Rattus norvegicus: one gene and its partners. The protein of the gene in region 1 interacts with the protein of each later gene in a pairwise test. Links are inferred from orthologs where the notes say so. Each region holds a gene or a part of one and is shown in the gene's direction. Other genes may lie near its edges.

Evidence for each region.
Region 2: the proteins of Trim69 (region 1) and Sf3a3 interact in binary tests that used the Homo sapiens proteins (3 or more experiments, as listed by UniProt). The two-hybrid records come from large-scale screens. The link is inferred for Rattus norvegicus from reciprocal best matches to the Homo sapiens genes TRIM69 and SF3A3.
Region 3: the proteins of Trim69 (region 1) and Iyd interact in binary tests that used the Homo sapiens proteins (3 or more experiments, as listed by UniProt). The two-hybrid records come from large-scale screens. The link is inferred for Rattus norvegicus from reciprocal best matches to the Homo sapiens genes TRIM69 and IYD.
Region 4: the proteins of Trim69 (region 1) and Asns interact in binary tests that used the Homo sapiens proteins (3 or more experiments, as listed by UniProt). The two-hybrid records come from large-scale screens. The link is inferred for Rattus norvegicus from reciprocal best matches to the Homo sapiens genes TRIM69 and ASNS.

The regions. Positions count from the first base shown.
Region 1 is NC_086021.1:129,576,721-129,583,039, forward strand, and holds part of Trim69 (E3 ubiquitin-protein ligase TRIM69), read left to right. Parts: coding exon 1-49; intron 50-151; coding exon of another isoform or gene 152-229; exon of another isoform or gene 230-327; intron 328-2,773; coding exon 2,774-3,007; intron 3,008-4,215; coding exon 4,216-4,238; intron 4,239-4,322; coding exon 4,323-4,447; intron 4,448-6,319.
Region 2 is NC_086023.1:142,268,246-142,274,195, forward strand, and holds the end of Sf3a3 (splicing factor 3A subunit 3), read left to right. Parts: intron 1-2,713; coding exon 2,714-2,769; intron 2,770-3,535; coding exon 3,536-3,613; 3' UTR 3,614-3,792; downstream 3,793-5,950. UniProt on the Homo sapiens protein: Component of the 17S U2 SnRNP complex of the spliceosome, a large ribonucleoprotein complex that removes introns from transcribed pre-mRNAs.
Region 3 is NC_086019.1:42,411,977-42,418,295, forward strand, and holds part of Iyd (iodotyrosine deiodinase 1), read left to right. Parts: intron 1-4,074; coding exon 4,075-4,266; intron 4,267-5,704; coding exon 5,705-5,864; intron 5,865-6,319. UniProt on the Homo sapiens protein: Catalyzes the dehalogenation of halotyrosines such as 3-bromo-L-tyrosine, 3-chloro-L-tyrosine, 3-iodo-L-tyrosine and 3,5-diiodo-L-tyrosine.
Region 4 is NC_086022.1:36,754,258-36,760,576, reverse strand, and holds part of Asns (asparagine synthetase [glutamine-hydrolyzing]), read left to right. Parts: intron 1-936; coding exon 937-1,122; intron 1,123-1,355; coding exon 1,356-1,457; intron 1,458-1,911; coding exon 1,912-2,039; intron 2,040-3,108; coding exon 3,109-3,235; intron 3,236-5,575; coding exon 5,576-5,682; intron 5,683-6,314; coding exon 6,315-6,319.

The DNA.
Region 1 (6,319 bases):
GCTTCAGTCTCTCAGAACAATGCAAAAAGATGCTATTGCTGCTTACAAGGTGAGGGGCTTATGAAGTATTGCTGGAATATGCCCTTCCTGTAACTCCAGCTATATGGATATACTAAATGGTACCTGGGCTATTAATGCTATTTCACTACAGGTTGGAAGAAATATATGGTGGAAAAGGTTCCCAATAGTTGATCACTTGAAGAGATTACCTTTTGTTCTAACATGCTGAGCCTTTAGATGGTCCAGTCGCTAGGTGAACATTGTGGGATTGATGTCTGCTTGGTCTTCCCCTTCATCTATGGCAAAATAAAGACTTTACCAGTAAAACTTGGTTTATAACCAGGTACCACTGAACCTGGGTTCTCATATTATATCCTCCCATCTGATTTATCTTTCTAAACTGTTTCCAAAGTTCACAGAGCTGTTGCTTATACATGCCTGCCCACTATAGACTTCACAGGAGCACCAAAAAAAAAAAAAAGCACTAATAGTAAAAATTAGGTAAACCAGTCTCTAGGCTGGGAGCTAAATTGGAAGTTCTGGTCCTTCATTAATTACTCTAAGTATCTGGAAAAATATATATCCTCAGGAAAAGAAAGACAGATGGAGTTCCTCATGCATCCAGATAATTTTGTTCAATTTCCTAGTTCACCTGCTATAGTCAATATTTGCACATTCAACACATACTTATTGAATGGGTCACTAAGATTCATTCCCACCCTAGAATCCAAGCGTGGGAGACAGGTATTAAATGATGCCACCAACACTAATAAAATAACAACAGCGACTAGTACCATAGGAACAGCTACTAGTACCATAGGAAAACTCAGCAATGAAGAGAAATCCAAGAGGAGAACCTGAAAAAGTCCCTTGAGCTACAGATGTACTCAGTCGGCAGAGTACTTGCCTAGCATGCATGAGGCCCTGAGCTTTAGAGCTGGTATCACATAAACTGGGCATGATGGCACACACCTATAATTCCAGCACTCAGAAGGTAAAAGGAGGATCAGAAGTTCAAGGCATCTTTGACTACATTTCTAATTTTAGGCTAGCCTGGGACACATAAGATTCACTGTAAAAAAAAATTTTTTTTTTGAGGACTGTAGGATGAATATGAGAGAGGGGTCCTGGAGAAGAGTGTTGAAGGGAGAGGGAAAAGTCTGGAAACAGGATGTTAGAACAAGTCCAATAAAGCCAGAGCACACCAGGCAAGGTAACACTAGGAGGCAGAAACGACCCAGTCATGCAGATCCTTGTATGGAAAAAATGAAGTGCTTTTAACTTGGTCCCGTGACGTGAAAAATAAAGATTTGTAAGCACTCCACAGTTTCATTTCGTTTTGAAAGTATCTGATGGCCGTGTGGAAAATGGCTTAGAGAGACAACAGCAGGACCATATGGTTCGAAAACTTGCAGGGCAGCATGCCAAGCGCAAAGGTACTTGATACTATACAGAGATAAACAAGAACATGTGGTGTAGGGAGGAAATTCTATAGACGCGATGACTGATTGAATATGAGGAGTGAACAGTGATATCAGGCAGCATTTGGGTTTAGAAGTCTGGAGTTCAAAAGCTGGAGAAAGCTGGAGGATCAAAAGCTGCAGCTGGATGGATATTGCCTGGGAAGTGTGCAGTGAGCCTAGGATAGAACACCAACTGATTTTTAACATTTAAAGCTTGTTAGACTGGGAAATCATGAGAAAGGGAAACTGGAAGTACGTGGGTTGAGAGAACGATGGAGGTAAGGCTACCTTAAGGGTGCAGTAATGGTTGTCCATGGAATCTAAGCCATGTAAGACAAGCCGTGAAGACAGACACTTATGGATAAAACAGAGAGAGTCGATGTTGATGAATTGATTAGTTTCTTGAAACAGGGTCTGTCTCTCCAGGTAGCTCTGGCAGCCCTGGAACTTACTTTGTAGACCAGGCTAGCCACAGACTCATACAGATCATGCCTGCCTGATTCTCTGAGTGCTGGGATTAGAGCCAGGCACCACCATGCCCAGGATGAACACAAATGTTCACTGAGATCCAACAGTGCTGCAGCAGGGAGCAAGTGAACTTGGAACACAAAGTCATTTCGGAAATGATACATTTTCTGGGAATGATGAAATTCCATATGTTGTTGAAAATGAGTGGTAAAAGCTATAAGTCATTGGAAACATAGAAAATGAGGAGCCAAGAAACCAGGATATAGATTGTTCACCAGGAAAGAAGCTGTGTGCGTGCACGCATGAACACACACACACACACACACACACACACACACACACACACATACACACACACACACACTGCAAGTGCAGCAACTTTCAATTTTAGTGCTTTGTACATTGTTCATCATGTACTCATGTACTGTTTCTTTTTTTTTTTTTATGTACTGTTTCTTTTATGTGGTCTTGGCAAAAGGAGTAGTTTTGATTTTTAAAGGATAGGTCTCCCTGGTCTAAGAGCATTCTTCAGTAGATACTGATTTGCCAGTCTAGGAAAGTACTGTTAGTATTCATTTTAGGATGTTTGATGGACTCCACAACATTATTTATTAGAGCACAGGTTATCATCCAAGCACTGAAAACAAAACCAACCGTCCTACACCATTAAACTAGTTGGGAAAGAAGGAACAAGCCCCCCAAAGAGCTTTATTTGGTAGAACTGAATGTTGATGGTAAGCAGCCATTTGTGTGGAATTGCCCAAGGTATGTGGTGTGGTGTAAGCCCATCCCCAAATGCTAGTCTCAGTAGTAATCGTGGTGATGATTATGGAGGTTTCCAGGACAACAAGATACAACTGCAACAAAACCTTTCCTTGGAGTTTCTAAAGCTGCATCAGTTTCTGCACAACAAAGAAAAGGACATTCTCAATGATCTCCGGGATGAGGGGAAAGTCTTGAATGAGGAGATGGATGCGAATCTGAACCAGATTCAGGAGCAGTGTCTCCTTGCCAAAGACATGCTGGCGAACATTCAGGCACGGATGGAACAGCAGAACTCCTTCGACTTCCTCACAGTGAGATTCTGAACACAATTGATTATGGGTATACTTGGAAGGAGGAAAGAGAAACTGGGAATGGGGGGTGGGTAGTGATGGAAGGAAAGCAAATCTTAACCAAGCTCAACCCACTCCAACCATATCCTGCCCTATCCAACCCAACCCAACCCAACCCAACCCAACCCAATACAACCCAACCCAACCCAACCCAACCCAACCCAACCCAATACAACCCAACCCAACCCAATACAACCCAACCCAACCCAACCCAACCCAACCCAACCCAACCCAACCCAATACAACCCAACCCAACCCAATACAACCCAATACAACCCAACCCAACCCAACCCAATACAACCCAACCCAACCCAACCCAACCCAACCCAACCCAACCCAACCCAATACAACCCAACCCAACCCAACCCAACCCAATACAACCCAACCCAACCCAACCCAATACAACCCAACCCAACCCAACCCAACCCAATACAACCCAACCCAACCCAACCCAACCCAATCCAATACAACCCAACCCAACCCAACCCAACCCAACTAACTGGAGTGCTTTTTAGGTTCCGTGGGAGATAAGTAGCGGCTTTTACTTTGTTCAGTGGAAGCTTTACTTTCATCTTCCTATGAAACACAATAGTACAGTTTTGCTACATGAATCAGTGTTTTCTTACTTTCCCATAAAGAACATAGAAGATTTATTTTTCAAAAATAAGTCTCTTATAGTATTTGTTGAGTTTTGGTCTTGCTGAAATTATAAACTGAGCTATCGAAAAAGCTTTTTGTCAAACTTTGCTGCCTGAAGTCTGACTTTTATAGCAGCATTGGTGATCACATCAGCACTCAGAAGTTTGGTTACCCTTGGCCCTGGGATCGCTCCTGATCTTTTCTTGTTGGAGTATTTGGAAGCACTCACTTTTTAATAAGTTGACCTTAACTGTGGGCTTCCTAGCTCTTCTCTTGTTTCCTATGAGAGTTGGAAGTATAGAAAATCAGAAGGTTAGCAAATGAGAGGTCAGTTTATCAAGGGTTAGACTGGGATGCTAATTAGCAAAGCCTGTAGAGAATGAAAACTGTTGTTGGTGATGGACTGGGGACCCTCTCTAAAGGAAGCCAATATTGATGATCAAACCTGGATGGTTACCAGTATAACCAGAGAGATTTCTAGAGATGATGAGCAGGCATCTGACTTCTCTGTTTCTTCTTTTCTCTTTTAGGACATCACAAAGCTCCTAGAGAAGTAAGTGTTTCTCCATGGTACTCTATCCCCTCCTTCCACCACTGGAGGATGTCTCAAAATAAACTATTTGTGTGTTCCTTACAGCATGGAGAAAGGAATGAAGACACTTGTACCCAGACAGCTTATCTCCAAAAAGCTGAGCCTAGGTCGCTTCAAAGGTCCTATCCAGTATACCATCTGGAGGGAAATGCAGTCCATTCTCTCTCCAGGTACAGTGGGGATGAGCTATTGATTCCTATGGCCCATAATCTATATTTCATCTGTGACCAGGGTTTTTTAGTTTGAGACAGGAAGGAGACAGAGTTGGGTAGAGTTTGGTCACAAAATTTTTTTCTTTTTCTCCTGCTGCTATGATTTAAGAATATGTGTCTTTGAACTAATAACATATAAAAGTCTGATATTAGAATTACTCCTCAGCCTATGATTTTGTTTGATCTATAAGGTGTGGAAGTAGTCACAATTTTATCCTGTTTTGCTACATCAGCTATATGAATTCTTGCAAATATCAAAGGTCTGAACAGGACAAAATAACACAAGTGGTATTATTTCAAGAAAAAGAAATAATAGTCTAGATAAGATGTGTATAAAATAAGAATTTAGATAGCTTTTACAAAATTTGTATAGATAATATTATTGTTTGTTATTAACCTAGTTAAAATCGTAAATATATCCCTGTTACATTTTTCAGGTGACTAACACTGAAAGAAACTGAAGTATAATCAATAGGGCAGAATCTGCCTATTTTACCTAAATATTCCCAGTGTACATGCTGAGTTTTGACAAACATGGAAATATCTCTGTGATCAGGATATAGATGGGGGTTGGAGAGTTGGCTTAGCACTGAGCAAACACAAGGACCCGAGTTTGAATCCTTAGTGCCTATGTAAAAAGCCAGGCATGGTGGCATACGACTGTAGCTCCAGCACTAGGGATGAGGTTGTAGGAAAACATAGCTCTGACAAGACCTGCAGGCTGGACAGTCTTGCGTGAATTCCAGATTCAGCAAGAAACCTGTTCAAAAACTAAGATACAGAATGATGAGGAAGATACTTAAAGTAGACCTCTGACCTCCACATGCACATGTATGGGCATACCTGTACACACACACACACGCCCACACACACACACTTCAAAGTTTCCACAAGTCTCTTTACAGTTAGTTCTTTCTGTGTAGCTCCAGTCCCTCCTGCTGGCTAATCTGCTTTATTTCACTTTTGATACATCTTTGCAAATGTTTGATTTAATGTAGATCACACATTACTGTATTGTGCGTCTCGACTCCTGTACAAAGCACGGTGCTTCCTTTGATTCACCTTTGTTGCACGTAGCAATAATTTGTTTAATGAATATATCATAATGTGTTTATCTATTCTCCAGGCTGATGAGCTTTTAGATCACACTTCAGGGATATTATAAATAGGGTTGTGTGGATCTGTGGGGTTGAAGATATGCCATTTAATTTTATAAGAAACTATCGATGCTTTTTCTTCCTCAAGTGGTTGAAAGCCTCTCCACGTGCTTCTTGGCCATTCCTAAGATATATTTAATCTTTTGACCATACTTTTGTTGATTGCTTTAACATTAAATTATAAGTGGACAATCCTTTATTAGCCATGCTTGTTAAAAAGGATTTAAAGAAACAAAACAAGACAGGACAAAACAGTGTGCCTGTGTATAAGTTGGTTTCCCTAAGTGCGGCTTTCAACAGAGGCCAGAAAAAGGTACTCGTTCCCCTGGTTCTGGAGATATGGGCAGTTGTAAGTTGTCTGATATGGGTGCTAGAAACAGAGCAAGAAGAAGTACTACGTGCTCTTAAGCTCTGAGCCATCTTTCCAGCCACAAGTTACTTTTTGGACGGTTTCTTTTGTTTGTTTGTCTGTTTGTTTGTTTTGGATATAGAATCTCATGTAGCCCAGGCTGGCCAAGAGTGCTTACGTAGCCAGAAGTGATCTTGAGCCCCTAATCCTGTTGTTTATACCTTCAAAGTGTTAGGATTATAGGCATTTACCTGACTTAAAACATTAAACAGCAGCCACAGCAACAGCAACAGCAAAATCAGGATCTCATTATATTGCTCAGGC
Region 2 (5,950 bases), on another chromosome or scaffold:
CAGTGTAGCTTCACTGTCCTGGAACTCTCTCTGTAGACAAGGCTGGCCTCAAATTCAGAGATCTCTTCAAATCCACCCTTTGCCTCCTGAGTGCTGTTATTGTATGCGGATGCATGCATGTGTATGTGCCACCACCACCTGGCTCTCTGTTTTATTATTATTATTTGATTTTAAAAAATATATAGTATGTGTGGTGCACTACTTATGTGAGTTTCTGTGCCTCATGTATATACAGGATCCTATGGAGCAGAAGAGCGCATCAGATCCCCTGGTACTAGAGTTACGGGCACTTAGGAACCATCATGTGGGTGCTCGGGGACCCTGGGTCCTCTGGAAGAACAGCCAGTGCTTTTTTTTTTTTTTTTTTTTTTAATTATTATATATAAGTACACTGTAGCTGTCTTCAGACACACCAGAAGAGGGCATCAGATCCCATTACAGATGGTTGTGAGCCACCATGTGGTTGTGGTTGCTGGGAATTGAACTCAGGACCTCTGGAAGAGCAGTCAGTGCTTTTTTTTTTTTTTTTTTTTTTTTTTTTTTTTTTTTTTTTTTCTTTCTTTTTTTCGGAGCTGGGGACCGAACCCAGGGCCTTGTGGTTGCTAGGCAAGCGCTCTACCACTGAGCTAAATCCCCAACCCCCGCAGTCAGTGCTCTTAACCACTGAGCCGTCTCTCCAGCCTTTTCTCCACCTTTTTTTTTTCCCCCCAGAGCTGGGGACCGAACCCAGGGCCTTGTGCTTGCTAGGCAAGCGCTCTACCACTGAGCTAAATCTCCAACCCCGGGCAGAGACATTTCTGCCTCACACTTGGCCTCTATGCAGGCACTAGAATGAAATCTAGGCTCTGGTCTCCATGCCTAAGTGGTAGGGCTCTGCCTTCCGACCCACCCCTGGAACCCTGTTTGGGGGATAGGATCTGACTTTGTAGCCCAGACTGCCCTGAAACTCACTTTGAACTGGTCATGATCCTCCTGCCTCAAACTCCTATGTATAGGTCTGAGCCACCACACCTGGCCTGATTAACTTCCTGATTTATTTTTGCCTTTTTGCTTTGTTGATAGGAAATTAAGTCAAGGTAATAGCATGAATTGTAAATCTACATTTTTTTTTTTTTTAAAGATTTATTCATTTATTATATATAAGTACACCATAGCTGTCTTCAAATACACCAGAAGAGGGCATCGGATCTCTTTACAGATGGTTGTGAGCCACCATGTGGTTGCTGGGAATTGAACTCATGACCTCTGGAAGAGCAGTCGGGTGCTCTTAACTGCTGAGCCATCTCTCCAGCCCGTAAATCTACATTTCAAATGCTTAAAAACGTTTTTTCTGAGCCAGGTGGTGATGATGGAATGCACCTTTAATTCTAGCACACAGCAGGTAGAGGCAGGCAGATCTGAGTTCCAGGCCTGCCTGGTCTACAGAGTGAATTCCAGGACAGCCAAGGCTACACAGAGAAGCCCTCCCTGTCTTGAAAAACATTTTTTCTTACATTTCTTTACTGTGTGCAACTGTTTGTATGTGCTCACATGTGTGCATGGTCATGCATGTGTGGATCCCCTTCCGTCATGTGTTGTGGGAATCAAACTCAGGTCATCATGGGCGATTATGAGTATTCAGAGATGCACACATGTATGCATAGCCCATACATGCATGCATGCATGCACGCACGCACGCACGCACACGAAAGCAACATGGCAGCATTTGTTGGCTGTGTTTTAAGGCAGTGTGGGTACTAGTGTGGCTTATAGTTTAGTTTGCTTCCTTACTAGGATAAACATGACCAAAAACAACCCGGGAAGGAGAGGGTTTGTCTGGCTTACACTTTGAGGTCACAGTGTGTCACTGAGGGAAGTCAGGGTAGGAACTCAGGGCAGAAATCAGGGCAGCTGACGTGGAGGAACACCCATCAGAGGCTTGCTCGCCACAGTTTGCTCAGCCTGCTTTCTTACAACTTGCAAGACATCTTGCCCGGGAGTGGCAGCACCCCCAGTGAGTGGAGGCACCCCATGTCAATCACTAATCGAGACAATGCAGTACAGACAATATGATGGGGGCATATTGAAGTTCCTTCTTCCCAGATACAACTAACCAGGACAAAGCTGAGCTTAAGTCACACTCCAGTACTCCCCAATCTCAGGTGGCAGAGGCAGGATCTCTGAGTTCCAAGCCAACCCGAGCACAAGAACAGCCAGGACTGTATAGAGAGACCGTCTTAAAAAACAAAATAAAGCCCTAACCAGGACATGTATTAAGAAGCCTTCTCAGCTATGATCCTTTTTATTTTATCCCACAGTTTCGCTAGACTCTTGTACAAACTGCTTCTTTTGAGAGAGCTTTCTTTTTACCGTTTGTTTGGTTTTTGAGCCAGGGTTGCTCATTTAGCACAAACTGCCTTCAATCTCAGTATGTAGCCAAGGCTAGCCTTAAACTGCCAGATCCTTCTTCCTCTATCTCCCAAGTGCTGAGGTTATAGGAGTGAACCTCCATGCTGATTTCTGGTCTCTGTCCTAAGACAGTTTTTCTTTCACAGCAACGTGAGACTGTGGTAATTTCTCAATCAGAGGGGCTTTATCTACAGGTTGTTCTAAATCAAAATTCTGTTTGGGGGGCTGACAGTCGGGAGCCTGTGGGGAGCGGGGCGGTGAGAATGATGTAACACTGTACCCAGGGGACTGAGGGCCTAATGGCTGCTTACCTCTCATCCTGCAGTGTGGGCCAAGCTGAAACTGCAGAAGGCTTCAGAACGATGGCAGCCTGACACCGAGGTGGGTGTTAATGTGGATCGTGTTAGGTGTGGCGTCAAGTGACGGCTCCCTCACTACGCAGACAGGAGAGGCTAGAGAGTTTTCTGTTTTAGCAAGTGTAATGACAGTGTCTACACGTGTGTGAGCCTGTCGGCATGTATGCTTTAAGTCTTTGTCATCAGGCACTTCTCCCACTGAGGCAGTTGTGAATAAGGGCACCCCGTCTCTTGTGCTACCCTGGGGATTTCTAAAGAAGTCTGTCACCTCTTAGGTCTCTGAGGAAAGCATCAAGTCAGAGATGGTCCTCTCTTCAGAGTGGGAATCTGTCCTTGTTGGTCTTGACAGGTCTCAGAGATGGCTACCATACATTGAAGGGGTGGCAGTAACGTCCTGGTCCTGTGCAGACCGACAGTAGTCTCTTATTCTATGTCAGTATTGCAGTTTTGTTTTCTTGCATCAAGAGCCCTTCCAGCTGTAATGTAGACCTGAAACACAAGACTGGCCTCGCTGTCAACTCCTGCAGTGGCCCAAGGGCAGAAACCCAGGCTTGGGCACCATTTCACACTGCTGTTTTGGTTTCCTTGTCAGGCTTTCCCTGTCAGGCTTCCTTGTCTCAAACACAAGGCATTTCTTGAAAGACTATGAAGGGATAAGGGTGAGCCACGACTGGTGCCACTCTAGATATCTAGAAACAGCTTTGGATTCCTCTTGGAGCTCTGGTTGAGAAAGTTATGTTAAATTAATGCTGGTTTCTGGCAGTGTGTAGCTAACGGCCTTTCCTTTTCAGGAAGAATATGAAGACTCCAGTGGAAATGTTGTGAACAAGAAGACATACGAGGATCTGAAAAGACAAGGACTGCTCTAGTGGTTGGCCATGCCTGGGCTTCCGTGAGAAGCCTGAGAAAATTTTTCCCAACCAAATGTTCTTAAAGACTTTTTGCTATGTAGTATCTACCTTGTAGGAAGAAGACATGCTGACAGATTGCAGAATTGAGATGTGTTTTATCTTTGTTTTATATTAAAAAGATTTGTGGGAAAATAAAACAGCCCTTGTTCTAGACGTGTTGTTTCTGAAATCCAGGTCTATAAAGTAACATAATCCTTTTGTTCTTAATGCCTCCTGGTCTGGTTCTCACCAGCTTCCATATTGGCTTAGACTTAGGGGTAGTTATTACTACCTATATATAATTCTGTCTGTGTGTCTCAATGATAGCCCAGGCTGGCCTTGAACTCCCACCAGCCCTGCTTCAGCCTCCCTGTGCTGAGATTACAGATCTGGACCGCCTCACCAGGCATGTGTCAAGTAATTGAGACCTAACGTTTCTCCCTTCACTGCCACTTCCCAAATGAGCCTCATGCCGGCATGAACTCTGCCCTCAGTAGAGTCAGCCATCAGTGTGAATATCAGAGAAAACAGGAGGGTGAACCAGACCTGAGGCTTAGAGTGGTTTCAAGGTTTGCCTGTTTTATTTGCCTAAAGAAATTAGCTGTAGTTGGCCTTGGTCCCAGCACCTGGGGAGAGGCAGGCATCTGAGTCCAAAGCCACTCAGGGTGCTGTTGTGAGACTCTGCCTTAGAAAATAAATTAACTGCAGCCAGGTATAATAGCAGAGGCCTGTATTCCAGGCTTCGGGGCAACTCAGGCAAGAGGATGGCTGCAAATGAGCTGCTCTGTGTTCTGAATCTGTTATTCTAGATTTCAGAACTACAAAGTCCTGTCCTACCTATGAGGACAGTCACTGAAGGTTGAGTAAAATTTCCCAGAGCCCTCTTAGCATGGTGACCCTAAGCTGGTTTGTCTTCAGACAAACCCCAACTCTGGATGGCCATCTTCCTCCATATACCTGTTGTCCTTGTCGCGCCCCTGGCAGCCAGGGTCTCGACACCCCTACTCTGAATTACATTACTCTAGTCAACCCATTCTTTGTATGACCTTATGCTTTGGCTCTGCCAGTCCGTGATGAGCAACCTCCCCTAGGCTCATGCAGCAAGGAGCCCATGGTCACATCTAATTGAATCAATTAGAAACCGATGGCTGGAAACTAGACCAAGGTGAAAGGAGAAGTTGCCTTCTCCTGTAGGAGAAGCCTTGCAAAGCAAAGCGGTGGAATGGAGAATGGGGGAAGCCCTGGGGCTACAATAGTAGCCACAACGGGGGGGCTGGAGAGATGGTTGAGTGGTTAAGAGCACTGACTGCTCTTTCAGAGGACCTGAGTAACCACTCAGTTACTCCCAGTAACCACATGGTGGCTCACAACCATCTGTAATGGGATCCGATGCTATCTTCTGGTGTGTCTGAAGAGAGCAACTGTATTCACATAAATAAATAAATCTTAAACATTTCAAATGCACAGTGGAATTTTATTTAGTTGTAAAAGAATAAAATGACATTCAAAGGCCAACGAGGTAGATGTGCTGGATGTGGTGGTGCACACCTTGATCCCAGCATGTGGGAGGCAGAGGCAGGCAGAGCTCTGTGAGACAGAGAAACCCTCTCCTGTAAAACAAAAATTAAAAAAAAAAAAAAAAAAAAAAAGGGGGCTGAGGTGGCTCAGTGGTCAAGGCACTGACTGCTCTTCCAGAGGTCCTGAGTTCAATTCCCAGCAACAACATGGTGACTCACAATCATCTGTAATGGGATCTGATGCCCTCTTTTGGTGTGTCTGAAGACAGCTACAGGGCACTTACATATAATAAATAAATAAATCTTTTTTAAAAATGAAGTCTAGGGGTTGGGGAGTTAGCTCAGTGGTAGAGCACTTGCCTAGCAAATGCAAGGTCCTGGGTTCGGTCCCCAGCTCCAAAAAAAGAAACAAGAAAAATGAAAAAAATGAAGTCTATATGAATGAAATGATCATAAGCAAGTCTTTGCTAACCAAAATTATATATATATATATATATATATATATATATATACACTTCATCCTAGCACTTTGTCAATCCCAAGTGTGACTCCATCTATGCAGTAAACAGAGGGTCCTTAGTGCACGCTGTATCCCATCAGCCTGGAAGATGTCCCCAATAGACAGATCTGAGTGTGGGACAGAGGACCAGAAACCTTCATGGTCCTGGGAGTGGTTGGGAGCAGGCTCGGCTCAGTTTTGCAGGCTTGTGTCCCTTCCCATCTCTGGAAGTTTTCTACCTTGCAGGGAAAACCTCGAGCCCTGGTTTACAGACCCTTCCAGGTCAGATCCCATGGAAGC
Region 3 (6,319 bases), on another chromosome or scaffold:
TTGAGTCTCATGCTGTTTGTCGATTGCTCCACTGAAAATAAAACGCAGGATGCTCATATGGTTGTGTTCTTGTGACTGAAAAGCTCAAAACTTCCCAGACTATGTAAATACGGCACTGTCTGGTCCCACTTGGGAAGTGCTTCCTTTACCACAGAGAAGCACTTTCCTTAACATTGATGATGTCTGTTCTAAGATTTGATGTGGAACGATGCGTTGGTGGGAGGGTAGTGGATACTTGAGTCACAGTGAAGAAGAGCGCTGAGCTTTAGATATCAGGGAAGATGGAAGGAGTGGTTGAGTCACTGTCACCAATGAACAAGGGTGGGAAGATCCAGTTTAGAAAACACTATGAGGATGTGCTGCATTTAAGGTATTCACAATGTTAGATGAGAGACTCTGGCATCAGCTTGAGGTGGCACTCAGAAGTTAGAGAACTAATGACGTCACCAAGTGGGTACTGTGAGACAGAAGACTGAGGGTAGAACTTAGGAAAGACCTAAAGATAAGAGGGACACAGTAGAGAGATGTACTACAAAAAGAAGATGACATGGTTGAAGAGCCTTGGGACCACAACACACTCACATAGCATGCAGTGGACCCAGCTGGTGCCATGTCATATACAGAGTAGGCCCCTTCATCTTCATGGTAATACAATGAGGTAGGCATTATCATTACCTCCATTGCAGAAGACCCAGGCCGTGGTAGGGTACTGCACACCTAGGCAGGTAGGACTCTGGCAGTCTGTTTCCAGGGTCCAAGCATAGGGCTGTTTTCTGGGTAGCCTCTCCTACAGAAAAGTCTAGAACAAAGGAGGAAGGAAAGAGAAGTTCAGAGATAGATTTTCTCTCTTCCAAAGCCACATTCCTGGGAGCAGTCAGGAGTTCAAGAGCAGGGAGAAGTGGCGCTGCTTGTTTTTAGAGGTCCTTGCTAGCCCCCCACTGCTGTCTCTGCAGTCTTCCTTATCTCAGGAAATGGTCCACTCACTACCCAGGTGCCAAAACCAGAAACAGAGAGGACCCTTTTCCTTCTCTGCCAGGAAGCAAGTCTCCTGGGTTTTGTCACCATGATGCTTTGGGAATCTGTTGCTCTTTCTGCTTCCCTGATGGGTCAAGTCAACATCATCCTGGTATAAGATAGGGCACAGTTCATGTGTGGCCTTTCTTTAGCATTCTTGTCTCTGTCTAAGACATCCCTCCACAAGCATGTTAGAGTCCTCTGCTTATTTCCCATGGATAGTTTTCTTTGGCAATAAACCTTAATCCACATAGAAGCACATTCTATGGGCTCATTCACCCTGGCTTTTGGACTACTCCACATTCTGTGAAAGGCCTCTCATCCCTTGTCCAGTAAGACCCAGCTATGGTTCCTTTCAGCTGCTAAGACTGGCCTGAAACACATCTTTTCCACTGTCGTTTTTTCCCAACAGACTATTAAAAACATGTATTATAAGATTCAGTAGTTTTATTCATTGAAAACATTATTAGATACCAAGCAACCTTCACTTTCTTTCTACTAATTTTGTGATTTTGTGTGTATGTGTTTGCATGTATATGCCATGTCATGCATGTATGTAAGTCAGAGGAGAAATTGAGGACTCGGCACTCTCCTCCCACCATATGAGTTCCTGGGACTGAACTCAGCTTGTCAGTCTTGGTGGCAATCATTTTTACTAATTGAGCCATCCTGCCATTTATCTGCTTCAGACCCTGACTGCCCATGTTCCTTCACAGTCTCAGACCCCCCACTCCCTCCCCTGTTTTCCTTATCTGGATCATTCCTCCAAATCTCTATAACTTCATAAAAAGCCCAATCTACTTCATCGGGATGATTACAGTTTACTATTCTATCCTTAAACACACTTGCTGGTTTGTTTACATATATAAACGGTAAAGGTATAGAACTCATGCTCATTTTATTCATAAATTCTCAATAAGATATTATTGAGCAAATTGCCCATTTTAATATCCAGGAAGGATATGGGAGTGTTAATAAATGTAACTTGTTTTATACATTCATGATATTTCATGTTTTGCACCTATGTAATTAAGACATTGGAAAAAATTTCCCCAGTCAACACACATACAAAATGATCCCTCTTTCCTCAGCCCAGAATATCATCACCACCATCCATGGTAAAAACCACAGCTACAGGGATCTCCTGAGCACATGCCTGCAGGAGAAAATTGTTCATCCATTCACTGTCTCTAAGATAGCCATTGTCAGGGAGTTGACTTGCTTTTCCACACTTTGCTTCTTATAGCTGATGTATATGTAGCATATGTGTAACTCACGTGTCAGCCAAGCTTGCCCTATTGGAAAACAAACCAATGAAACAACAGAACCCACTACCAAACAATCAAACAACATCCAACCAATAAACACAAAACAACAGCAAAGGTTTAAAAGCAGTCTGAATCTTAGGTATTGTGGTATGAGCTGGCAAAGCAGGGACAAATGAATTCCTGAAGCTCACTGAAGCCACCCTAGTCTACATAGTGTCCATGCCAGTAAAGAAAACCTATCTCCAAAAAAGAAGAAGGACATCCAAGGTTGTTCTCTGTCTCTCTCTCTCTCTCTCTCTGTCTCTCTCTCTCTCTGTCTCTCTCTCTCTGTCTCTCTCTCTCTCTGTCTCTCTCTCTCTCTGTCTCTCTCTCTCTCTCTCTCTCTCTCTCTCTCTCTCTCTCTCTCTCTCACACACACACACACACACACACAGCACTTTACATGCTTTCAGGAGACTGATGCCACTTAATGATTTTTGAGAACTTTGAGGGAACTAAGTTCATGGAACTATGCACTCTGAAGTTCAGGCCCATGAGCTCCTGCTTTCTTCTGTGTTCTGACTTATCCATGCAGAACAGCCACATTTAATCTTCCATGTTATCTCCAGGTCCCCACCATTTATACAGCAGGCTAGCACTCAGGGTATGCCTCTTTCCCTTCTAAAGACCTTTTCAGCTACACTTTGTCGTCCTGCTTTCTCTGCAAACTCCATTTCCTTCACACCCTCATCCCCACCATATGGAAGCCATTGTAACTCTAAAACTTATTTCTTTCTTTGCTTTTTTCCATGGTCCTAAGTAAACTGGCTCTGGTTTTTCTTTATCTTTCATCTTTGTGGTCTGTCTTTTGCTCTTTGCTAATCTAGATTTTTATTTTTTCTTACCAGTAATTTAATCTAAATAATTCTAGTTAGAGTATAATAATCTCTAGAGAGTTTTATATCTCTTTTTCTTCTCTAAGCATAGTGTTACAGTTGTTTGCTCTTCTGTGAATTCTTGGAGCACTGGCACACCTAATTTTATTGCTAAGCATTGATCTTATTAATTTAACTCAAGATATTCTATTCTCTTGGATACAGGATTACATTGGTGAGTTCTTGGAAATTGTTTCTAAAATTCTTTACATATTGTCATTTTCTTCTGCTAGACAACTTGGGTGCTTCCAAGAAGAAACACTGAGTTAGAAGAGGAACCAAGAATATCCTAAGTCCCTGAACGATGACATCTTTACAATGCACACTTTCCCAAAGGATGTAACTTGATGGTCTGGGCTGATTCAACTTCCTATTGTGTGTGAGGGTTGCCTTTGATAGCTCAAGCATTAAAATGGGGACTGGGCCTGTAGGAACAGGCAGATGTAAGCAGGACACACGAGCCTCTGTGATCACCTCTCTAGGTTCAGATTTTCCCTTTGTTTTTAGCTTTGGAATTTCTTACTTTGTTGTTAGCCCAATGCTTTGACAAAGTCAAAAGCACCTTATTTGGTGACCTGAATGGGGGATTGTGTCAAATAATTTATTCTACCATTTAATAGAACTTCCACTTGTTCATTTTGTAATATCTTTTGTTTTAATTTGTAACAGATCTAGAGTCTGAAGAATGACCATGGTAGTGGTCAAAATTTTACAGATCTACTCTTTAAGTTTTTTTTTTTTGCTTTAATAAATTTGATTGATTGGTTTGACCTTGCATCACCATATAAACTTTTCTGAAACTTTGCTTCTCTGACCCCAAGTGACCTTATAACCAGGGAGATAACTGAGTTTGCTATGCTCCTGGCTCTTGTTTGCAGATACTGAGGAATGGCAAGAGTCGGAGGAGAGTGTGGAACACATCCTATTCTCCCACACCCGATACCCAGAGCAGGAAATGAGGATGAGATCCCAGGAATTCTATGAGCTCCTCAGTAAGAGACGCTCCATCAGATTTATCAGCAGCGAGCCAGTCCCGATGGAAGTGATTGACAATGTCATCAAAGCAGCAGGTTGGTAACTGCATGCTGAGCCTTTCAGAATGTCAGATGCTGTGAAAGATACAGTGTTGAGACAGCACTGAGTCCAAATATGTATACAAAGCTAGAGGGGTGTGTTTATCTATGAAGGCATTGTAGTTTGGGTTTTACTGCTGTGAACAGACACCATGACCATGGCAACTCAACTCTTATAGAGAATAACATTTAGTTGAGGCTGGCTTACAGTTTCAGAGGTTCAGTCCACTATTACCAAGATGGGAGTATGGCAGTGTGGAGACAGGCATGGCACTGGAGGAGCTGAGAGTTCTACACCTTGTTCCAAAGGCAAACAGAAGACTGTCCTCAGGCAGTTAGGAGGAGGGTCTCAAAGCCCCACCCCACAGTGACACGCTTCCTCCAACAAGTTCACACCTCCTAATAGTGCCACTTCCTGGACCAAGCATTGTACAAACCACCACAAAGGCTTTCTCGTTGCTACTGACTTCCAGAAACATGCATTTCTACTTCCTATGTTTTGGTTCTTTATTTCTTGGAAAACAGATATGATGATCATTTAAAATAATACAGTATTTTTTGAATTTTGTTTAAAGCTAAAAATTCTGAATATGTTAGTATACATTGCAGGAGAAACAACTCTCTCTTACTCAAAGCATGTTTCTTCTTCCACATTCAGGTCAGATTTATATGTTTGTCACAAACTCCAAGACACTCCAGTACAATAATTAGCTGAACAAGCCCAATAGCAAGGTTTCCTTCTGTGGATTTGTAAAGTACACTAAAGCAAGATAAATACATTTTAAATGTAAACTAATATCTCCACCCAGGGGAAACTAAGAACAAGGATGCCACACTCTCTAGGTTTTTTTTTTTTCTGTTTTCTTACTCTGCCTCATTTATGTTCATGTGTGGAGCTTGTTGCATACCCACTGAAAGCCATCTTTAATTCAAAAGACACCAAGAATACTTTGTTTCAGTCAAGAATACAAATGCCTTGGATAGTTGTACCCTTTGCCTAAATGGCAAGTCAATAATCCCCACCCTATATACACCTGTGAGTTTGAGTTAAATGTTAAATTATTCCTCCCCCTCCCCTTTACCTCCTCACCCTTCCCCTCCTTCCCCTCCCCCTCAATTTCCCCTCCTCCCCCTCCCCTCTCCTCCCCCTCCCCTTCCCTTTCCTCTCCCCTTCCCCTCCCACTTCTTCTTCCCCTCTCCCCTCTCCTTCCCTGCTCCTCCTGCTCCTCTTTCACCTCTTTCTGTCTGCCCTCCTTCCTCCTTATAGCATTTTGACACAAAGTCTAACTTACAATCCTCCTGCCTCAGCCTCCCAACTGCTGAATGGGCTTATAGACATACATCAGCATAATACCTGCTATTGTATTTCCTCTTAGAATGAACAGTTTTGCATTCCTCTGCAGTCTCACACTTATTTTAATTTAATGGGTAACAGGAACAGCTCCAAGTGGAGCCCATACAGAGCCCTGGACGTTTGTGGTGGTAAAGGACCCAGACATGAAGCATAAGATCCGAGAGATTATCGAGGAGGAGGAAGAAATCAATTACATGAAAAGGATGGGAAAGCGATGGGTCACAGATCTGAAGAAACTGAGGTACAGAGCTGAAGGGCTTAGGGGTGCTTGGTGTGCCTGTTACTGTAAGAAACTGCCACTGCAGGTCCAGGGTTTGTGGGGTTTCATCTTATTTTGATGATCCATTAAGTGTTCATATTAATATGGCTCCATACAGTATTTCAGTACATGCATACAGAATCAGGTTTCCCCTTGTTTCTCTATTGTTTTGTTTCTTCATTTTATTTTAACCCCAGGCAAAGGTTCTGACCCAAATAATTGTTTCTTTTAATTATGTTGTATAATCTTTTGAGTATTAATTTTATTATAAAGTATTATTTAATTTATTATAAATTATTGTTTGATATATTATAAATCATTGTTCAATTTATTATAAATCATTTAAATTATTATAAATCATAATTGAATTTATTAAAAAGTGTGTGTGTGTGCGTGCGTGAGAGAGAGAGAGAGAGAGAGAGAGAGAGAGAGAGAGA
Region 4 (6,319 bases), on another chromosome or scaffold:
AGCAGCATATGAGCTCTGCCAGCTACTGAGAACATTGGATTCCTTTGGCCTTTCAATTCAATGTACACAGACTGGGCTATGAGACTCACGGTACATTATAATAAATACCTGTGTAGACAGGCTGTCTAACTTTACCACACAACATTGGCTTTTGTGTCAGATCATGGTGGTGTCAGGGTAGCTACTGTCTATAAGAACTGCCTAAAGTTACATTATATGTCTCATACACATTATATGACATCTATTAAGGGAGGGGTAGTGGCTTCTGAGTACCTGCTAGCTGATCAATTTGCTTGGTAAAGGCTTGAGAACCATTGGTCTCTCTTAAAATGCCACGGTAATGACCGGAATACTTGGCAAGTTATCACGAAGTTAACATTTTGATTTCTCTTCTTTCTCACATTTATCTCCTCTCATCTTGTTTGCTTTACGACAGAAAATAGACATTCTTTTAAAAATTTTTATCCTTTGACAATTTAATAGATATCTAAAAAATAGGTTTCCGTGATCAGAAATTTCAGCTAGGGAAAGGAAGGACATGATGAAGACTTTAATTTTAATAAAGGTAGCAGGGCCATTCAGGTGGGAGAGGATCGTCTCAGAGAATGTTATTGTAACAACTGGACATACATGGGATAGAAGGTGAAGTTTGGAATCTTTTATCTTGCTGTGTTCGGGAATTATCTTGAAAAGAACCATTTTCCTATTGCATCAAATGACTGCAAACCTATGCGGTTTGGTATTCTGTCTCCGTGTCATTCTTGCTTCTTCGGGAGAGAGATGGTAGGGTGTGGGGCAATTATTTCCTCTCCCACTATTTTTGTATGGTGGACATTTATTGCTCCTTAAAGGGGCAGGTATGGATTAGAGATTGGCTCACTGTGAGGGCTGCAGAGAAGCACCTCATTGCATACGTTGCTGTTTCCCGTTTTCTAGGCCTTGTCTCCTTGAAACACTCCACCACCCCCTTCCTAAAAGTGGAGCCCTTTCTTCCTGGACACTATGAAGTTTTGGATTTAAAACCAAATGGCAAAGTCGCGTCTGTGGAAATGGTCAAATACCATCACTGTACGGATGAACCACTGCATGCCATCTATGACAGTGTGGAGAAACTCTTCCCAGGTGACTGGTGCCTATGACCAAACTCCAGAACTGCAGGCACTCCCTGACTGCATGGGGCCATTCACACCATTTTCAGTGATCTCGGTTTAAAGGTGTTGATTTGGAGGTGGCGGGAGCTCCTTGAGCGAGGGAGGGCCATCATATCATGGTGGGGTAGGACATTGCTTGCCTCCTCTCAGTTGGCTTAGCCTCAGCTTATCTGTGACGGCTCCGTTTACTCTCTGTGTTGCTAGGCTTTGAGATAGAGACCGTGAAAAACAATCTGCGTATCCTTTTTAACAACGCTATCAAGAAACGCTTGATGACTGACCGGAGGATTGGCTGCCTTTTATCAGGTGACGAGAGTTTAGAAAAACATACATCTTGCCGGTGTTTAAAGGCAATGGTTTGTAGCTGGCTCTGAGCTTTGAATTTAGTTAAAGGCCTACTATATAATTTCATCATTGTTTTTCTATAGACGTGTTTACAAGCTGCATTTGTTAAGGTTAGAGCTGGTTGGTACTCATTCCTTAGAGTCCTGTGTATTGATCTTTTAAACTTTAGATACAATTACTATTGTAAGGGGCCAATAAAATGTATTAACATACACTCATATGTATGTGAGCACACACACACCCACACACACACACTTCATTTCACTATGTGTCTATCATATTAAAGTTGATTTCAGTTTACAAAATTCAGAGATGTTAGTGGTCAAATGCCAATCCAGATGTTTAACAGGTGTGTGATTGTCTTTGCCCTGCTTGCCGTATGCCTGTAGCCATTGACTTTGTTCTTACGCTGTAGGAGGCCTGGACTCCAGCTTGGTTGCTGCCTCCCTGCTGAAGCAACTCAAGGAGGCCCAAGTGCCCTATGCTCTCCAGACATTTGCTATCGGCATGGAAGACAGCCCTGATCTACTGGCTGCCAGAAAGGTACAGTGCAGCCCGCCCATTGCATATTCAGAACTTAGTCCTGGTGTTGGGACGAACATCAAGTGAAGCTGTCCTAGTGTGCCTGTTGTTACCGTAATAAAGGCCATGACTGGAAGCAACAGGGTGAGGAAAGGATTTATGTGGCATACATATCCCCAGTCATACTTCTACTGAAGGAATCTGAGGTAAGAACTCAAGGCAGAAACCTGTAGGCAGGAACTGAAACAGAGAGCATGGAGGGACATCACTTATTTATTGGTTTTTGCCTCCTGGCTCCAGGCCCTTCAGTTCTCTCTTTGTTTCCTGTGTTCTCTTTCCTCAGCAGACTGTGACTCAAAATAGGTAAACCAAACAAACTCTTTCCTTCCCAAGTCTATTTTGGTCATGGTCTTTATGACGGCCATAGAGAACAGTCTAGGATAGAAATTAGTACCAGGATAACAGCTCAAATCTTGTTTTCTTCTGAAGCATTGCATTATGAATTGTAGGCAGAACAGACTTTGTACACATAATTCTATGTGCCGAAGACCGGGTCTTGCTCTGAAAAGACCTACAGTGATGAGAAAGGCCTAGAAGAGAATCCCAATGCAAATAGATATATGCTGGAAGACGGGAAAAGGCTATTAGAATACCATGCTGGGTATAAAATTAGTCATTTCAGTACAGCAAAAGAGAGATGACGTTCAAAAGGGAACCATACTGGACTAGGGAGAGATGAGGCAGGTTAGGTAATATAGGAGAGAGTCCTGTGCTGATTGGGGTCCTGGACTGTCAGTCTGTAGCTTTGAGTTGGAAAGAACCAGTAGGAGATTTACCTCCTGTGGTTGAGTCATGAGTGAGGGCCAGGCAGACTGCCTCCTGTCAAAGGGACCTGCACCTCCTTACTTAAGGGGCCTGCACCACCTCCTGTCAAAGGGACCTGCATGGCCTCTTGCTGCTATGGTCTGGAGAGACCTGGAGTGGTCTTCTGCTTTGTTTCTTTTCACCATGTTTACCTTGAGAGGATCTGGCTTGTTTCACTTTCTAAAGTAGCTCTTTAACAAAGATAGGGATTTCTCTTTACATTCAGGTGGCAAATTATATTGGAAGTGAGCATCATGAAGTCCTTTTTAACTCTGAAGAAGGCATTCAGTCCCTGGACGAAGTCATATTTTCCTTGGAAACTTATGATATTACGACAGTTCGAGCATCTGTAGGTAAGGGGTTTTATTGGCATGAAAAGTAGAAGGTTTAAGATGATTTCAGCTCAAGAGAGATTGTCTAAATATGAATATAAACAAGTTCCTATATTGTTAATAATACTATTATATTGTTAAGACCATTTAAGAGTGCCCTGAATTTCTTTTTGACTGGAGGAAGTGCTTAATGAATATAGTCAGATCATCTGAACACTGAATTTACAAGGTCAGCTTGGGCTATAGTCTTAATAAATGCTTTATAAAAATATTAACAGTTCACATTTGCAAAACACATGCTTCATGCTAGGTTCTGTCTCCCTACTTTATATGAATTATTTGTTACCTTAAAACTAACCCATCATAGCCAGTATTCCATCATCCAGGAGGCTGAGGCAGGAGAATTACACGACATTTGGCATATATGGCATGACCATAGAATGGATACATATTTTGACTCCTTTTTTTTTCCTCCCATTTTCTCTGTGTAAAATATCTTGGATGGTATAGTTGGGCCACAAAACATTATCCCTGAGTTTCACCAACCAAAGCTTGAAAACACTTGAGAGCTATAATGTGTATGACTGGACCTGGGCAGACTTTATTGCTGTCGTTATTGTAATAATAATAGGGTGTCAGCTGCTTACATAGCATTTACACTGTATCAGAAATTGTATGTGATCTAGAAGTGATTTAAAGTACAAGAACATCTCATAGGTGTTACAGATTCCGGTCTCTGCAGTAACGCAAGTCTCTCAGTGCAGTGTGACTTTGCCTCCTAGTGCATATAAAAGCTATGGCTACAGTGTGCTGTGGTCTTCTAGGTACCTCTACTTACTGCTATTGATCGTCTAAGCTATGGAAAATGATACGGTGTATTTGCTTAGAGCAGAATTGCCAGACCTTTAATTTGTAAGAAGTGAATTTCCTCTGAGGCACAGTAAAGCCAAGCACAGTAAAACAAGATAGGCCTGTATACGTGTGTAGATTGTGTGCAAAACTCCACCTTTTTATAAGGTGTTGGGGCATCAGAAGATGTGGGTAGATGACGGGAGGACCAGGAACCAATCCCAAATGAATACTGAGGGAACACTGTTCTTTATTAAATGGGGAAATGGGTCTGTACTGCAGTACATTTTCCTTAAGGAGTTCTCATGTAGATGTATTAAACACACCACTCTGTCACAGGGCTTACTAGTTGCCAGCTGTTACTGTCATGCAAGCAACACTTATCTGGTGAACACATCTAAGATTAGAAATGTACCACAAATCAGAGAGCCCAACGTTGTCGAACCTCTAAACTGTTACTTAGCTGAGTGGGTCTTTTTAAACATTCACTTTGCAGTGCAATAAAATCCCTTGAGTATTACAGTGATTTGTCCCTCGGAAGCTTCATCATTAAATACACACACATATAGGACGTATGTGGTTGAATTTTTATGAGGTGGAAGCAGAGTTGGGAAGAAGAAAGTCTCTCCTAAGACGGATAAAAGTGAGCTTGGAGGAGACATATGGTAGTGGAGAGAGATGTGAAACGGGTACCAAATAGACAGTATGATACTGTACATAGCCTTCTTAATCAAATGTGGGATTTGGAAATGAGGAGCGGAAATGGAAAAGAATGAAACAATTAAAAGTAAGCTACTTCTGTTAGTCAGTTTTCTGTTATTATAATGGATAACCCCAGAAGAGAAACTGCAGAAAATAAGGATTTTTTAAACTTAGAATTTTGAATGCCAAAAGTCAAACAGCATGGGACTTTGGTGGGTGGCATCAAGGAGCTGCATATGAGGAAGAGATCTCATAGTGATACCAGGGGCCAAAGAATAGAGAGCGGTTCTGTTTTAGACAGTTGAATAGGGAGAAATAATTTGATTTATCCTGGGAATTGTCTTAATGCCTTCTAAGGCAAGATGCTTGAGGACCCAAGTAACCCCAACCAGACCTTACCTCCACTTCACCACCGTGGATCACACCACCAACACATGAGTCCTTGGGAGACCAAACTGCATCCAAAGCATTGCACAGCCCATGCCTTACTTTTCTGTACTAGTGACAGTATACAAGCCATGGTATTCGGGTATTTAAGCGGTTCGATCTAGCAAAAAATTAATATAAAAAGTCTTGTTCTAAGAACATAATTTTGGAGCCTGTTTATAAAATAATACAGTGGATGCAAGGCTATTTTATTGCTTAAGTTGGATTGACTGCATGGAGACGGCTTGTGAGTGTGTGATCCTTTTGGAAGCTGCATTAATACCTCTATTAACTCAGCCCAACAAGACACTCCAACCTGCAGTTGTTTCTGAGGCTCTCCAAAACACAACACTGACATCAACATTAATTTCTGTTTCCTTTAAGGTATGTATTTAATTTCCAAGTATATTCGGAAGAACACAGACAGCGTGGTGATCTTCTCCGGAGAGGGGTCAGATGAGCTTACACAGGGCTATATATATTTCCACAAGGTCAGTACTCTGAAGTGAAAAGACGGCCAGGCTAAGTGAAGAAACGTCAGAATCACTGGCCTCTTTCTGTTCTGTCCTTATAATTTGTAACATTTTTAGAGGGCATGTGTGTTTGTGGGTAAGAATTGATGATATCTGTTTTCTGTGTGTGTATGTATGTATGTATGTATATATTTATTTTTTTCATTTATTTATCTATTTTTACGAGAAAGAAGGCTTTATAGTATCAGATACTTTTCATTCTTAAAATTAAACATGAAAATTGATTTTTGTCTGTCTGTCTGTCTGTCTGTCTATGTTGATTGATTTTTTTTCCAAGATAGGGTCTCATTATGTAGCTTTGGCTGTCCAGAAACTCACTATGTAGACCAGACTGGCCTCTGCTCCCCAAGAGCTGGGATTAAAGGCACCCTGTCTGTTGCCCAGGGCATCCATTTCATTTGTTTCCACACTAAGCACTCGGGAGGGTGGATGGGCCTCCAAACACTGCTGGCCTCTGAAGTTATTTACTCACACTCCTCATGCTCCTCTTAAGTTTTCTGGCGTACTCATTTTTTATTTTATATGTGAGAGGGGAAAATAAAGGCTGCCTGTGTGCCGAAGCTCGCCACTGACCTTCTTTTGTTTAATAGGCGCC